Linked DNA regions of Astyanax mexicanus. The protein of the gene in region 2 purifies or fractionates together with the protein of the main gene of each other region. This does not show direct contact. Links are inferred from orthologs where the notes say so. Each region holds a gene or a part of one and is shown on either strand. Other genes may lie near its edges. The genes, in order: aqr and xab2.

What was found.
Region 1: the proteins of xab2 (region 2) and aqr fractionate together in Homo sapiens (co-fractionation; 3 studies listed by BioGRID and IntAct, with this or other methods). This does not show direct contact. The link is inferred for Astyanax mexicanus from reciprocal best matches to the Homo sapiens genes XAB2 and AQR.

Annotation. Positions count from the first base shown.
Region 1 is NC_064421.1:15,192,627-15,201,334, reverse strand, and holds the start of aqr (RNA helicase aquarius), read right to left. Parts: upstream 4,010-8,708; 5' UTR 3,901-4,009; intron 3,383-3,900; 5' UTR 3,354-3,382; coding exon 3,279-3,353; intron 1,416-3,278; coding exon 1,359-1,415; intron 1,094-1,358; coding exon 1,053-1,093; intron 488-1,052; coding exon 452-487; intron 335-451; coding exon 214-334; intron 88-213; coding exon 1-87.
Region 2 is NC_064410.1:4,829,427-4,838,213, forward strand, and holds the start of xab2 (pre-mRNA-splicing factor SYF1), read right to left. Parts: upstream 3,938-8,787; 5' UTR 3,798-3,937; coding exon 3,762-3,797; intron 2,897-3,761; coding exon 2,748-2,896; intron 2,631-2,747; coding exon 2,507-2,630; intron 1,417-2,506; coding exon 1,219-1,416; intron 253-1,218; coding exon 118-252; intron 10-117; coding exon 1-9. Other genes in the region: uncharacterized protein LOC103046674, read right to left, coding at 5,318-5,710, 5,821-5,862, 7,229-7,503. UniProt on the Homo sapiens protein: Involved in pre-mRNA splicing as component of the spliceosome. Involved in transcription-coupled repair (TCR), transcription and pre-mRNA splicing.

The DNA.
Region 1 (8,708 bases), on a different chromosome or scaffold from region 2:
CGACAGTCCAAGCTCCTCTCCGGTTAGACAGGCGTCCATTACGCACTTAAAGAAGTAAGGGAAGTGACTGGGATTTTTCTTAAAGACCTGATCAGAGAGAAAGTTTAATTATACCTCACATACAAAACAAGCCAACCCAAAAAATATATTATATATAAATTACATATAAAAAAAAGTATATAAAAACACTGCACTATTGGTTTTGGTACTCACCTCCCAAGCTGGAACATTCTCTCTGAACTTCTCATTAACCATACAGCAAATGGACATCAGATAGCCGTTACTGGACACCTCAGGGCTGTAGTTAACCCACAAGTAATTCTCAAGGTACTGGCTAGAAGGCAAAATAAAAAAATTAAAAAATAATCAAACATGGAACTACAATAAATAAACTAATAGTAAAACATCAATTATACTCTTTAAACAAAACAATAAGACCAAAATCACATACCTAAATTCCAACAACATGATTTTTCGGATTGCAAATCTGTAACCAAAAAGGATTTGCATAATCAATAAAACAGCAATTATTTATTAAAACAATGCAATAATGATAAAATGTGTTCTAAATGCAGTGAAACACAAGGAAATATGACTAAATGTCCTATTAACACACTCAGCCACCCTTTACACTTACTGAACACAGATATACAAATGCATATACATGGCATGTATAGTCTATGTAGAGAAATATTGCCAATAGCATAGAGAACTGTGTTCTATGAATTGATAATACTATGTTTAATACTTTTGGGACAAGGTGTGGTAGTGATCATCCAACATTTTGACCTCACCAACAACAAATTCTCAATACTTCATACATACCTACATACATAAGGAGAGTAAAGAAATGTTTCTTAACCTTGCCATAGAGGCAACAGCACTAGTATACACCAACGTGATGAACCAGTTTATGATCAATTATTTTTTTCGCACACAATTTATCTGTCCAAAAAAAGCTTTAATTCCAGCGAGTGTGCGATTTTTATCTTCCCAGGGTTGGTGGTACGATGTTAGGGCAATAGTTAACATAATAATGCTAGCATACTTACTTTGATTTGAAAATTTCATTCTGATAGACATCTTCAATGACCTGTTAAAAAAATAAAATAGGCACAATGTTTAAGGGGGATTTTTGACTAGATGAAGCATTTTTTTGTATAATATTCACATTATGTCAGAAAAACCCTCGTAAAATCCCTGATTCACATAACACTGAGATCTGAACTGCATTGTGTTAACAATGCCAGTAAAGTAAAGTGACAATTAAGAATGCACATATCAGGCTAATGCAGTTTTCAGAGACAATCAACTGCAGTACGATAAAACATGACCACATACATAAATGTATTCCTTACCTTACAGTCAAACGGCAGCTTATTCTTGGCATGAGGAGCCCAATATTTAACTGAGAGCTAAAAAAGAAAACAGAACATGAGAGGACAGCCTTAAGAAAAGATGTAGCCAACAATGTCTATATGTGGTGGATTATATCACTATTTAAACAGTTGAGTAACTTTGAGTTTATGAAAGATACATTTAACGCTCATGAACTAGCTACATGCTTAAAACAACAACTATGTAAACATTTCTTTTACAATTATTTACTATATGTGATTCCTTATAAGTAATTTGTCTGTAAGTTTTAAGTGGTTTTATTCTTTCCATTTTGTGTACAGTTACTGCCACTTTAAGAATCTGTCTCAAACAGTCTCAAACACACCTTCATATCAGAATATTATGACCACCTGCTTGCTTCTACTCTCATTGGACTGCAGTCCATCCGATTCTTTGTACTCTTTTATTTAACCTCCTTCAATGACCAGGAACACCAGAGGATCCACCACAAAGCAGGTATGATGATGATGTGGTGGTTTATTTTTACCACTGCTGTGTCACTGACATGGGGATGGTGTCAGTGAGTGTAGCGCTGGTACAAGTGGATGACACCTCAATTTTTAACCTCAGTGTCACTGCTGGACTGAGAATTGTCCACCATCCAGAAATCTCCAGCCAACAGCATCTTGTTGAAAGTGTTCTGCGACCACCAAAGTGTACAGCAACAGATTACAGACAGAGCTTCTGTCTTTCCCTTTACTTTATCTCCAAAGTAGGAGTGTCAGTGGACAGTGAGTGAACAGTGTTTAAAAACTCCAGCAGCACTGCTGTGCTGTTTCACTTATACCAGTACAACACCCTTATGCAATGACTACAACCATCTAAGTGTCACTGCAGTGCTTAGAATCACCCTATGTATAATAACTGCTCTGTGGTGGTCCTGCTGGACCATGACCACTGAAGAGAACGGTGAAAAAAAATCCCTCTGTGTACGGTAAATATAGCTAATGTAATGTTGTACCTGTGCATTTTCGAAGTTCTCAGTGCCTTGTTTTAAACGTCAGGGCCCTCAGAATTCTACCAATGAAGTGTGGAGCTACTTCGAGTTTGTTAATGGTGTAAAAACAGTGATTTCTTTGCATGGGCAATGCTATGACCCCATCATTTGCACTGTAAGACTGTTGGGAGCATTAGCTAAAAGCACTGTATTTCAGAATGCTGGAGGAGAACAGAGGTGGGCTATTCAAATAAAGTTTTAACTCATTATCATGTTTCACTACATCCCAATGTCCATTTCACACCGGAATTCAACTTCAAGTTGAGGGTACCAATCACTTTGTATGGCTCATTTTTTCTTTTGGATGAAATTAGCTTATATTAATTTTTTTTTTTCCTTCTGTTTTTTATTTTGTTGTTGTTCCAATACACAGACAAAAACACATATATATATAAAAAAACATGTCTACTTGCAATCAACTTCCTGGAAACACACTTAATTTTAATAGGTTTGCTAAGCCTAGCAGTCCTCACAATAACTTAGCTATAGAAATTAGCTATTTGTTAACTCTTTTAGGCCCTGCATACATTACAATTATTTTTTAAATGTTTTATTGCACATAACACCATGTGAGAGCTGTTGTCCATCAGAATAGACTATGAACCAGTCAATGAACAAGTTTATAAACCAATGAAACAGTAACTTGGCCCCGTTTACTAAACTGGGAAAACAGTAGGTTAGTAACAGAGCTATTGAGGCAAAGTAACAGCTCATTTGTAGTAAATTAATGTGATTTAGAGCACTGTTTTTACTGTTTAGGGGTGATTTATGAAATATAAACATTTTACACACATACTTCCAATGCAATGGAAATAAAATATTTTAGCCAACTGGACTTAAACCACAGTCTTTCACCTTCATATTTCACAGCTAAAGTTCTTACCTGAGTCACATATTCTGCGTTAATCTGAGACACAGACGGAGCTGCAGTCTTCTTCACCCGAGCGTCCTTCTCCATAACGTCTTCACTAGCTAACGCCACACAACCTGTGGAGGTCCATTTAACATTTATCAAACATAGTCACAAACAAAACACTCAGCTACTTAACCGAAAACAGACAGAACTGGCAGAAATACCCACAAAAAAGGTCTAAACTGCTGCCATAGGGCTAATTAGTCAGCTAGTATACATGACTATGCTGTAACTTATCCCATTCAATTTTAATTCATTCAAACAGTAACGTTAAATTAGTTAGAAAAGAGTTCAGAAGAGGCAAAAACAGAACAAAAATGAGTAAAGTCATTTTTTGCTAATTTTGTTATTATTTAATGTTATTTACTGGGATTTTAAACTCTTGTAAAATAACTAATTAAATTCCGTATCAATAAGTTACACTTCAGTACAAACAGTAGTTAGCTAACCAAGCTAACAAACAAACTCAGCACCAGCAGACCTAAACAAAACGCTACTATTTAAACCAGTTACCCCAAACAAACTATCTACCAGCCTGTTGTTAGTTAATATGTTCTTTAATTGAATATAAAAGCGAATAATTCATAAATACCTTGTTTACCCGCTAAAACGTCATTAATACGTTGTTAGCTCGTGTTGCTAGCTAACATGTGTGCGCGCACTACAACCAGAGCTGGTTTACAGCGAGCCTGCGCACTTCCTCTCCACACAGGGTTGCCAGGTCCAATAAAAAATATCCAGCCCAAAGTAAATCTAAAACCCGCCCTTTGGAAGCTTAAACTAGCCCAAAATATATGCCTCTCACACATTTGAAGCAAATGGCAAGACAACCATGAGTGTACGACTTAGTATTTTGTTCGTAAGGGTTTATCAGTATTGTTATTTATCTTAAAGTCATCAATAATATTGTAACATTAGTGTTTTATTAGTTCTTAAAGCCTCTTGGCTTGACTTTACTTTTATAACCGGTTTATATCCCAGTCAATAACATGTAAAAGTAACTTTTTTCATCGCCTGGTAATTTCTGGTTACATTTTGATTTCTCCCGGTTACACTCTCCTTTTAATGCTGTCCTTAATGTGTTATGTTATGCTGGTTCTTAATGTTGTAATTTTTTTCTATTTTAGCCCCTTACAATCAGAAATACAGGAAACAGTTTTTTTTTTTTTTTTTGCATTTTGTAGCAATTTTGTTCATTTTTTAAGAAAACAAATTCTGAAATTTGTGGGGCAGAAATGAAAAAGAAGAAAATTGTAAAACTAGTTTTTTTCTTGACAACGCCAAATGAAAAAAAAAAAAAAAAATATATATATATATATATATATATATATATATATATATATATATATATATATATATATATATATATATATATATATATATATATATGTTTACACCCTATTTTCTAATTTAGCCTTAAACAGAAATTTGAACTGATTACACATTACACAAATTACACAGACACCACCAGGGGCTTTTTTAAAAAAAGTTTTTGATCCAGCACCCCGCCACCCCTACATTTTCAAACAAGTCTAGTTATGCAGGAAAGCTGCGAACCTGGCAACTCTGTCTCCACATCTCCCCAGTTATTTTATAAAATTACTGCAAAACGCTAGAGGGAGCCCGCGAGTGAGCCCTCAATGAATGGCGGTGAATGAAGCTAAACGGTTAAAAACGAAAATAAAAATAAAAATAGTAATTAACTGAGTTAAATATTTAAATCAATTTTAGAAAATAGATTATTTCTAAATAGAAGTATTTCGTTAAAATGCAAATACGACATACCTGTAAGTTTCAATAATTCTACAGTAAACAAGTTTTATGAAGTGAAGAAGCTAGGCATTACTGCTACTGTAAGCTGACTGGTTGGTGCTCTGAGTTTAAAAGGTTTATAACTGGAGTTTAAGCTATAAAAGCTTTTTTATTTTTTAATTATGCATTTGGTACATTGAAACATTTAATATTGCTCTGTGTTGAGAAAATTAGCATACATTTCAGTATAAAAATGAACATTTATAAACCCATTCGTTTAGAATTTACTCAAAAGCGCCCTCTTGTGGTCCGATGAACCCAAAAGTGGATATTCTCCTCCATAAAAAATCTCTGGTAGAACACAGTGAAGCTAGTAACTGGTGTACATTAATGCCAAAATAAAAGTCACAAGAAAGCAAAATAAATAAAAAAATAGTGAAAAATGTAATTAATCAATAAATATGTAAGTAATTATAACAATATAAGTGATTTCTCAACGTCACGCTAATTTCACCTTTTCAAGCCTATTGTAAATTAAGAACAAAATAATTTTTCAAAATTTTTAAGGTTTAAAAAAGGATTTAATGATCGATTAGAAATCTTTTAAAATCTTACAAAAAAAAACAGAAAAAAAAATAAAATGAAAAGAAAGTCTGTTTCCTAATTTTTGTAAAAAACAAGTTACTTTTTTACAAATTGTTGATCAAATGTCATGTTGCATCTTAAGTTTATTCTTAAAACAAAGTAAATAATTAACCCTGTGAGCTATCTTTGTGGTTTTAAGAAGAACTCCTCCATTAGTCCAAAAGCAAATGTTTATGGTTTGTGGTTTAGGGGTCACCAGGGGTCAGTATAATGTTCATCTGTTAAATTTTCTGACCGTTTAAGGCTTAATTGTAATTAAATAAAATAAAAATATAAAATGAAATTATTTTATATTTTCCATTTAATATATTAAAGAAGAAATGTGTTTTCAATTATTTTCCAATGTTCAAGTGTTCTATTTTAGCCCCTCACAATTAGAAATACAGGAAACCTGAAAAAAAAAAGTTTTATTTTTGCATTTTATAGCCATTTTGTACTTGGAATAAAAAAGATCTTCTGGTAATTACCTGAATTCATGTATATATAATTCATGAATTCGTTTTTACACTGTTTAACCCATCATCTAAAAAATGGAAGGAGCATGGCACAATTTTCCTGAACACACATCATTTCCAGACCACCACACCCATCGGCATAGATATAGCTCTGGAAAAAATTAAGAGACCACTTCAGTTTCTGAATCAGTTTGCTAATGTTGCTATTTATAGGTATATGTTTGAGTAAAATGAACATTGTTGTTTTATTCTATAAACTACAGACAACAATTCTCCCAAATTACAAATAAAAATATTTAGAGCATTTATTTGCAGAAAATGAGAAATGGCTGAAAATAAAAGACGCAGAGCCCTCAAATGATGTAAAGAAAACAAGTTAATATTTATAAAGTTAAGAGTTCAGAAATCAATATTTGGTGGAATAACCCTGTTTCTTAATCACAGTTTAGATGAATCTTGGCATGTTCTCCTCCACCAGTCTTACGCACTGCTTTTGGAAAACTTTATGCCTTTACTCCTGGTGCAAAAATTCAAGTTCCATCTTTCTCTTGTTATATTCCAGAGGTTTTCAATTTGGTAAAATCAAAGAAACTCATAGTTTTTAGTTCCAGAGCTGTATATTCACAAGCACCTTTACTATTTAAATAATGCAGGCACAAGGCGAGGAAAAAACTGTTTCTTGGGATAGAAATGAGCATTGTGACATGCTTTGCGCTGGGCTTAAAATAAAGACCTTGAAGTCAAACAAGGATTTGTTTTACTTTTCTGGCAGACAAGCAGTTATTTTACATAACCAACAGCCACCTTAAAAATATTTCTATGGTTTCTTGGTAAAAATGTTGTTTTACTTTATAAAACAAAGATACTAGCTATATTAAATACATTTTTAAATGCATTTTGTGGTTTCCAGTAGCTTTTTTAAAGTAAGTTCTGAGATTCTGATCCTATTAAAAATGACTAAAAAGTATAATTAAAGCACAGATCATTTGTGCAAGTCCTTTTAACTGATGAAAGGAGCAACAAGACGCTTGATCACAAACGTCTTGTGATAAAGCAGTTTTGAACTATTGCCACACGAGGGCGCCACACTCCACTTAATACACTCACATATAGTCTATCTCTGAATATTTCTGCATTGATTTTTTTCTTCTTAAGTATTAGATCAGATTAAAACAATATAAAATAGGCTATATAGTTGTACTTCTATAGTCCTAATCTCTCTAGTCTTTTTTATGATTACTGTACTGTAACATGATAAATACAATGCATGATTTGTTTTAACAGCCATATACTATCAAAGCAGTCTAGTAGCTACAGAGATCAACACAGTTTTATATTCACTCAAAAAATTCACAAGCATTCATGTCACCAAATCCTAGTATGCTTCCATTTCCATAATAAGAGCCCTCTGAGCTTTCTGACCACATGAATGAGGATCTGAATTGCTGCATCTGTTACCCTGTGTAGTGGTTGTTCATTTCCTACAGAGCAAAACAAAATAATATCTTTATTAAAACCAACACAAGCTTTCATTTCCATTTGTAAAAGATGAATCAGTTAAAGACACAAAAACATGATCCTCTGTCTAGGCCTACGTGCTGACAGAGTGATGGGAACGGGGTTGTAGACACGCTGTCCCTGCCCGTGTCTGTGTGAGTGACACAGCCGCTTATTGTGGTGGCAGCGATGGCTGTCTGGTTCTGGGTGGCACTGGACTATGCAGAGTATGTGAGATGTTGTTGACACTGAAGAGGCGATGTACTCCCTGCCCTTCTCACAGCTGCACTGCACTGTGTGTGCGGCTAAGAATACGAGGACATGAATGCTCAACTCAGGGTCTAGACCGAGCTTGTCTTTTCTGTTTATCTGAAATTATAAATTATGATTATGTTCAGAATGCGTAACAATGAATACACTGTATACTATTACAATACATAAAGAATAGTATTTAGAATAAATAAATGTACTCACCTGTTGGTTGGATGTGATTTCTGCCAGAGTCGCTTATCAGCTTGCACAGACACTTCTAGCCAGTCACATCATTCCACACACTGCTCTGCTGCCCACTCTGGGTGGAAATATCAGTCTTCTATGATTTGTTCCTAGTGCACTTGCCATAAGCACAGCACTGGTCAGAGTGCCTACAAAAAGCACTCACAAGATAACACCTCACAACAACTACAGGTGTGGGCGTTCCCAAACCATCAAAAATGGTAACCAAAGTGAACCACTTTTTGTTGCCATATAGAACGATGTACAAAAACTGAGACAAAGAACTATTTAACCCTTGTGTGGTGTTCGGGTCTGTGGGACCCGTTTTCATTTTTCATCAAATGATACTAAAAAAATATTTTTTCTAACTCAAACTCATTGACATTGGCTCATTTTTTGTGAAAAACATATATCAAAACACATTTTCGATAAACACACACTGTACACCCCCCGTAATTAATATTTGGTGGAGTAACCCTGGTTTTTAATCACAGTTTTTATTCATATTGGCATGTTCTCCTCCACCAGTCTTACACACTGCTTTTGGATAACTTTA
Region 2 (8,787 bases):
GTGCCAGAGCTACAGTTGGAAACAAACCAAGACATGTATGAGCTCAGATTTCTCTACAAAGAGCCCGAACGTTAATGAACTAAACGTAGATGAACTAAAATCCTGTAAAATGCTGACCTGGTAGTTTGACTTCCCTTCTTTCGAGACAAAGCTTTCATCATTAACCACAGCTGCCAGCCGGACTGCTGCCTCATCCAGCCGTCCTACAGAGCGCAGGTAATCAATGTACTCCTCTGTGTTCTCTGGAGAGAGCTGAAGAGAGCAGAGGAAAGGAGAGAGTCAGAACTAAGTGTTCGGTGTTGCAAAAAAAAATGTCAGTGTTTGTATCTGGCAGCACGTAAAAATGATCAATTATACGACATCTAAAAAAAAAAATTATTAAGCATTAAATTATGGAGTATAGAACTATACTAACAATATTCTTGTTCTTGCACCGTATTTTTCGCACTATTAGGTGCTCCAGATTATAAGGTGCACTATCAATAAACATACATAAGGTGCACTGGATTAAAAGGCGCGTTACGCAAAACTAGTAAGGAATCAGGTCATCAGGTCTCGCCGCTGGGAGTTGGTGGGGGGTAACTAAGTTAAGCAAAGCCAAGTAAACAAAATCAGTAACTCCTAAATAAAAACATTTTCTTTTAAAGTCAAACAAGCACCGGATGTAAATCTACACAGATTTCTCTCCTGAAAGCGATTCATATAGATGAGTAAAGCACTTTAGTTTATTTACAGTAAGCTTAGATTTCCAGATTTCCATTAAGGCTGGGTGCAGCAGCATTAGCATTAGAGGCTAACTGCTAGCCTTGGTTATTAAATGGCTAGTAAATGCTGCCCGGCAGCGCTATACTGAGGAATTCTAAATGTGTTCTGGTAAGCCAGGGCGATATCAGCTAGTGGTTTGTCCCACATAGCGTCTAAATGACGAAGAGAGATAGCAGCTAATGCTAATTCTGTTCCAGTTGCTCTGCTAAGGAACTAAACTGAAACACCTTTACAACACTGTACAATCCATCAGCAAAATGGATTTACTGCTCCTTAATACCTGACTGGTAAAATTCATACATAAGCCACACTGAAGATTTTTGGGAAAACTAAAAGATTTGAAGTGCGCCTTATAGTGCAAGAAATACGGCAATTGTACAGTATTATGCTCTGTATATTCAGTAGGGTTCAATAACAAGTTGGAGTCACTGCTCTACAATTACACCTTCTTACCTTGAGGTATCTACGATAAACGCGAATGGCGGTCTCAGGCAGAGGTAAGTTTCGTGCAAACTTGAGGTACAGAGGCCAGATTCGGGAATGCTGAGTGATGGGTAGGGCTCTGAGCGCTCGGTCGAAGGTACGACGGCTCCTTGTGATTTTGCACTGAGACACAATGAACTGACAGTAATCCAGCCATATCCTCGGCATCTGGAAAAAAAAAGAAGAAGAAGCATGAAGTGCAAAATCTATTATTAGTTCAAAACTTTTAGAAATCACAGGACAGAAGACACTAGGGGTGTCACGATTCTCTAAATCCTCGATTCGATTTTATTTCCGATTTTAGGGTCACGATTTGATTCTTGATTTTCTTTTTTTTTTTTTTTTTTACTTTTTACGATTTTCTTTATTTCTTTAGTTCTATAAATCCGTTTTCAGCTTCTCCTCTGCGGTTGAAAGGCAGCTGTTCTGCGTGTGAGAGGCTCGTGTGTGTGTGTGTGTGTGTGTGTGTGTGTGTCTCTCTCACACACAACGGAACTTTTTGTCGGAGGGTGGGGCTGCGCTCAAGCAGTCGCTCTCTCTCTGTTGAAAAACCCTGGGCTACAGTGCGCTGCGCCATTTGCTGAGCGTGCTGCGGCATTTGTGGGAGGGATCGTCGATCCTCTTTTTTACTTCGAGGCTCAAGACCATGTCATAATTTCGATCGATTTTGATAAAATATCGAAATCGTGACACCCCTAGAAGACACTAATTTATGGTGGTATTAATGTCTGATGTTAAGGAATGCTGTGTATTTCTGCCTCCTGCACAAACAATGAATCTGGTGAGAAAAAGCAAGAAAATGCCCAAAATTGTGGGGGATATCATTAACATTATCATTAACATGCTTACTTTTAAATTGTAATAAATATACAAATTAAATACATTATAACAGCTACAACAAATACATTCATTTAACTAAATCACTCTCTTATTTGATGATTGATAAAAAATACATATTAGTAGGCTAACATTTTTCATCTAATCATTTTCATTTTACACATTCATTTTACATCGAATTATTAAAAAAAAAAAACATTTTAAAACCTACAGAGCTGGCAACTGAGCTAATCAACTAAAAGTGCATTCGTTTGTATACATATAAATCACATGATGTGAGCTGGTGATAGACCAGAAAAGCATTGTGGAAAAAGAAGACAAAAAATATTGTCCTTCCCAGTAAAACATTAAAACAAGCAACTGTGAAATCACATGAAAAGTAATTTGTTGTAACTCCAGAATAGGATACTAGTAATTTTACCTTGTGCATAAACACCAGTGCTCTCTCATGGCAGTTGTTGATTTCCTCATAAGCGGGATCTGTTACGCATTTTCCCTTGACCTGCTTCCTCCGCTCCCTCAAATAGTTGTACCACAGTTTGTAACTGTAGTTGAAGAAAAACAAATACATACATTGTTTTTTACATACATAAAACAACAACCATTAACTTTTTTCCCATCAAAATACAATGAATGGTTTTAAATGGAGTAGCTGCATTTACCTGCCAGGTAGCTCCTTCAGCGCTCGCTCGTAGATCATATTAAGCACTGACTTGGAGCCACTTTGCTTGTGTTCAATGTAGCGCATCCAACACTTGACTGAATATGGATTCCTGATGATTTCCTCTTCATAGGGCAAGTCATCTTCTTCCTGAGAGATTCATTTATGGAGTTAGTTAACTTTACAAACACCAGGGCAGAATGCAGAATTCAGAACTTCAGACTTATACATTTGAATTGAACCATTTTAAAGACTTGGATACAGCAAGGTAATGCATAATTTAAGTATATTAAATTCAATTATACTTGAATTAAATTACATCAATTACAATATACGTCAATTACATAAATATGAACATGTGTAGAACATATGTAGTTTCTTTTTTCTAATGTTTTGATGGACAGAAAACTAATTGAGACCTGTTGTTGTTCATCAGAATAGATGATAAACCAGCCAATGAAACAGTAGCAGTAATCATATGTAATATAAGTTACGTTGTAGAGCTTCATAGTCCACCTTAGTTATGTATTATGAATGTCTTTGAATGTATTTTAATTACAAATAATTTTAATTACAAAAAAAGTACAATTCATCCTATTATACCAACTCAAAATGAAGAATAGGGACATTATAGAACAGCTTATATAGCTAGCAAGCTGGTTATAAAGCCAGTGTTAACTCTAATATTCAAAATGCATTTCTAATTTATTACACTGATCTCAGACCGGATTTCTCTGTTTTGTAAATATAGCTAACTAGCTAGGGTTAGCCACAAAAGTGTCAAAAATACGTTCTAAAAAGAAACAACAGTCCTCACAGCAAAAGTATCAGCCAGTCCTATTTATCTACTACAGTGTATGTTTCATATTTATCTAATTCTGCCTAAATAAATCTTAATAACTGATTTTAAAATAGTAACGAAAGTTAGCCATTATTAGCTGTTAGCTTCCCACAGATACCATACTTGGTAGCCTAGCCGTGATATTCTATCCATAAAAAACACAGAAATACATACAAACGTAACGTCCGGTTTTCCGTTAAAAGTAGGCATGTTCCTCTCCCGGTAGAAGAACTGAATTATAAACCTATAAATGTAAAATAAAACTGTTTAATCGTTTTAGCTTCTCCGCTACTCTGAACGTGTTGTGGACGCAATGCTAACTAGCTCCGCCCCCTCGACCTTTCACCCGCTGCTGGGGCCGGGTGAACTGGAGCCCGCGCTGGCGGATTACACTGCCCCCACCGGTTAAAGGTGGAACTGCAACAGCAAAACCAACTTCACCACTTTCTTTTTTTAAATTAATTTATTTTTTATTAGCAGCGTAGAACACAAAACTCACAATTAATCACACTTTATCTTTCCTTATTTAGCTTTATTTATATATATATATATAAATATATATATAAATAATATATGAATAATTGGTATTTAAATGTGAATAAAATAAATAAACAGATTTTTATAATTGGTGCCAATCCCTTAAAAATAATTGTATTAATCACAACACTATTTTGTGACTAAATCATGGATAAAACCATGATTCCCTTTTTTTTAATTCTGGTAATTAGCTGTATTTTTGGGAAGGGGACAGTAATAATGGTGAAGTGTGGTTTACATCTGGCATACTATTTTTGTTTTAGTTTGTAGTTTTTTTTACTGTGTTTTAATATTTCAGGGTAGTTTTACTGTATTATAATAATTCAGGGTAGATTTACTGTATTATAATATCTCAGGGTAGATTTGCTGTATTATAATATCTCAGGGTAGACGTACTGTATTGTAATATCTCAGGGTAGATTTGCTGTATTATAGTATCTCAGGGTAGATTTGCTGTATTATAGTATCTCAGGGTAGATTTGCTGTATTATAGTATCTCAGGGTAGATTTGCTGTATTATAATATCTCAGGGTAGATTTGCTGTATTATAATATCTCAGGGTAGACGTACTGTATTATAATATCTCAGGGTAGATTTGCTGTATTATAGTATCTCAGGGTAGATTTGCTGTATTGTAATATCTCAAGGTAGATTTATTGTAGTATATCTTAGGGTATTTTTAAGGGTAGTTTTAATAGAGAAAATAGCTTGAAAAGAAGAAACGTACCTTTAACTGTGTGTGTGTGTGTTTGTGTGTGCATGACCACACGAGGGTAAAAGAGAACTGATATCAAAGTCGACCTGCAATTTAAATTCTAGTTGCAGAAGGTAGATACAGGGCAATCCTGGAAAAAACCTGTTGGAAGCTGCAAAAGACTTAAAACTGTGAAGATTGATCTTTCACCAAGACCCTAAACATACAGCCAGAACTACAGTGGAATGGTTAAGATCAAGGAATATATTTATGTGTTAGAATGGCCCAGTCAAAGTCCTGACCTAAATCCCATTGAGCTTCTGTGTAATGTTCACAGACACATAGATTTTTTATGTAACTCTCAAATAAATGCAATCATCACACAGTGAGATAATCCTTCATAATCATTTATTTCACACAGTTTTAAACCTTGGTTTAATTTAGTAAAGTATGTGTTTCTGATAAATTGGCAGCTGAGCTCAGTGTACATTCATAATGCTTATTTTCTTTTCACTCTATCCTTTCTCTCTCTCCTCCCATCCCCTCGTTCTCTTCCCTTCCCTGGCTCCCGGCTCTTCTCTGCGGCGTTTCCCTGCTGAAGCTGAGCTGTGTGGACTCTGTGAATGAGGGAGAAGTAATCTTCATCAGTTCCAATGGGTGGAGGATGAGGTGCAGGCCTAGGAGAGGAGGGTCTGGGGTGGGACGTTCGTCCATGAGCTCGGTAGGGTGAGGAAGACCTGGAGCGGTGTCTCCTGGGCCGGGGTGTCGTCTCAAGAGATGGGGGTCCGCAAACCATAGGAGTGAGTGGAAGGAGAAAATTTTTCCCTGCTGGTGTTCCAATCGTCAGGAACACGTCTGGGGAAGAACTCTGCTGACCGTCTGAGTTACTCTGCTGAGAGAAAGACAGGGAAAAGTGCAAAGAGAAATGTGTGTTGGAATCGACAGGTATGCACATAAAAAACGGATATAAATACTGGTCCACAATTCCTACAGTCCACTCACCTGTTTGGGAGCAGTGAGGCATACGGACACTTTGAAGGTAAGCTGCAATAAAGAAGGGAGATTATGGTGATTAAACTGATCTTTAACCTCAAAGCTATAGCAAAAAGCCACTAAATAGCTTGTTTGCTTTATATTTAACAAGTGTACAACACTGACAGGCCAAATGTCTTGGACAGGAACTAGTATCTTGTTCCCTGGCCATGCTCTGCATGTTCCAATAGTAGCTAATGGAATTTTATTATTTTATTATTAAGGGCTCAAAACAGACATAAAGTGGGGAAAATAAGTATTTGATACACTGCCGATTTTGCAATTCAGACAGTTTTCCCAACTACAAAGAATGAAGAGATCTGTAATTTTTATCTCAGGTACACTTAAATTGTATGAAATAAGTATTTGATACAATAAAAAACATAACTTATTATTTGATACAGAAACCTTTGTTTGCAATAAAAAATCTGACATTTGCTGTAGTTCTTGACCGAGTCTGCACACACTGCAGCAGGGATTTTGGCCCACTCTTCCTCCATACAGATCTTCTCCAGATCTTTCAGATTTCAGGTCTGTTGCTTGGCAACACTCTGTTTCGGCTCCATCACAAGATTTTCTATTGGTTTCAGGTGTGAAGACTGGCTAGGCCACTCTTGGAACTTGAAATGCTTCTTCCTTCTTAAAATCCACTTTAATTTTTGTATCTATGTGTTTTGGGTCATTGTCATGCTGGAAGACCCAGACTCAACCCATCGTCAGTGCTTTTACTGAGGGAAAGAAGTTTTTGGCTAAAATCTTGTGATACATGACCCCATCCATCCTTCCTTCAAAATGTTACAGTCCCTTCCCATTTGCTGGAAAGCACCAGCAAAGTAAAATGTTTCCACCCCCATGCTTTATTATCTTGCTGGTTGGAAGGTGATCATAAACGTATTTCATGTAATAAAATGTTGATTATTTATTTAAAAATCATACATTGTGATTTTTTTATTCTTTTATTTTTTATTCTGTCTCTAATAGTTAAAGTGTACCTACAATAAAAATTACAGACCTCTCAATTTGTTTGTAGGTGAGAAAACTTGCAAAATTTGTAGGGTATTAAATACATATTTTCTCCACAGTACTGTACCTGGTGCTGTAATTTTAGACAGTCTATCATTAACACCCACTGCCCTGTCCGCTGTGGGTGGTAATGCCTTCTATGCTGTACTCCCAGTACACACAGACATCCTTATGATAACAAAAAAATACTAATTTTGGAAACAAATCCAGTAGATGAATTAATTTAGAACAAAACTTTGTACTACAATGTGCAAAAAGGTATGCAGATTGTATGATATGATGCTAAGCAATGTTTAAGAGTGGGGGGTTGTAGGCCCCCACTATACTACCAGGTAGTATAGATAATGTTACTCACCTTGGTGGAAACATTATCATACTGAGTCCTCTCTTTCTCTGAGACGGGGCTGAAAGTGGCAGATCTTGGTGGAGGCTTGGTGAGCAGGTCTGGATCCTGTGTGAGGGACGTGGGTCTGGAGGAAGCTCTCCTGGGTGCAGGCGACTCCGGGGTCAGGATGATCTGTGGAACGAATGGTTTCTCCGTTCTGACTTCTGGCATTGTAGTTCTCTGGTCATCCATTCGTTTGCTCTGAGAGTTGGCCACAAGGGTGAAGAACTGTTCTGTGTTTAGTGCTGTAAAAATATCAGGAAAGGAGATAATGACAACAAGTTTCATTATCTCTTCATTATCCATGAAAAAGAGCCATGACCTATTATTCCACCTCCACCAAGTTTAACAGGTAGATTCTGGATTTGTCACTATGGGATGAGAAAAAGTGATACCCAGTGATTCATCACTCCTAAAAGCACTTTCATATTCTCCAGACTCTTCACACAGTTCAAGAAGGTGACTCTAGATAAACCCATCCACATGGTTTATACACATTTTAACCAATAAATTTAAATTTTTTTTTTCATGACTTTTCCATGCCTTAAAGGCAAATTTTCATGACCATACGATTTTTAAATAAACGCAATATAAACTATCCACATGGTTTATACACATATATACATTATACACACATATACATGTACATATATATACACACATATACACACATATACATTATACACATTCTAGATAAACCTATCCACATGGTTTATACACATTTTAACCAATAAATTTCCATTCTTTTTTTTCCTGACTTTTCCATGCCTTAAAGGCAAATTCTCATGACCATACGATTTTTAAAAAATCAGTGCAGACATGGACAATAAAACCAAAAATCAACTAAAAGTATAATTTAAATGGATTATAGTAGGCCTAAAATGAATCTGACACACAAACTTTAATAATAAAATGGGTTTCAGATCCTGAGAGCTCTATAGTATAGGGCTAAATTACTGAATTAATTCTAAGCTGACGTTCTTGTTAGCTTAAAATAGATTTTCTCCATCGATAAACGGAAACACAAAGATTTGTAGACCAATTTCTAGACTTTTCTAAAATTTTCTAGGTATTTTTATTTTTCCAAAACTTATCCAGGCCTGGAAATTGCTATTTTCAAATTCCATGACTTTTCCAGTTTTTTCGTGACCGTACAAACCCTGTCTCCAATAAAGCTCTTGAGAAATATCTCCAGATATACCTTTATGTCGTGATTACCTCTAGAAGCAGAATGGAGATCAGTTTTGAGTTTTAAATCCAAGAACAGTTATTAGAAAGATATATTTTGACATTACTACACTGATCGTTCTTTATGTTAAGCCATTCCACAGAGAACAGGGGTTGGACAATGAAACTGAAACACCTGGTTTTAGAGCACAATAATGTATTGTGGTGACGGACAGTTCTGGTGGAAACAGGAGAGTTGAGGTGCACATTGAATTCTGCCGTGATTTGATCAGCCATGTTTTTTTGTTTTTGGATACAATCTGGGTTAGCACCCGAACATCACTTTCAGACAGCTTCCACAG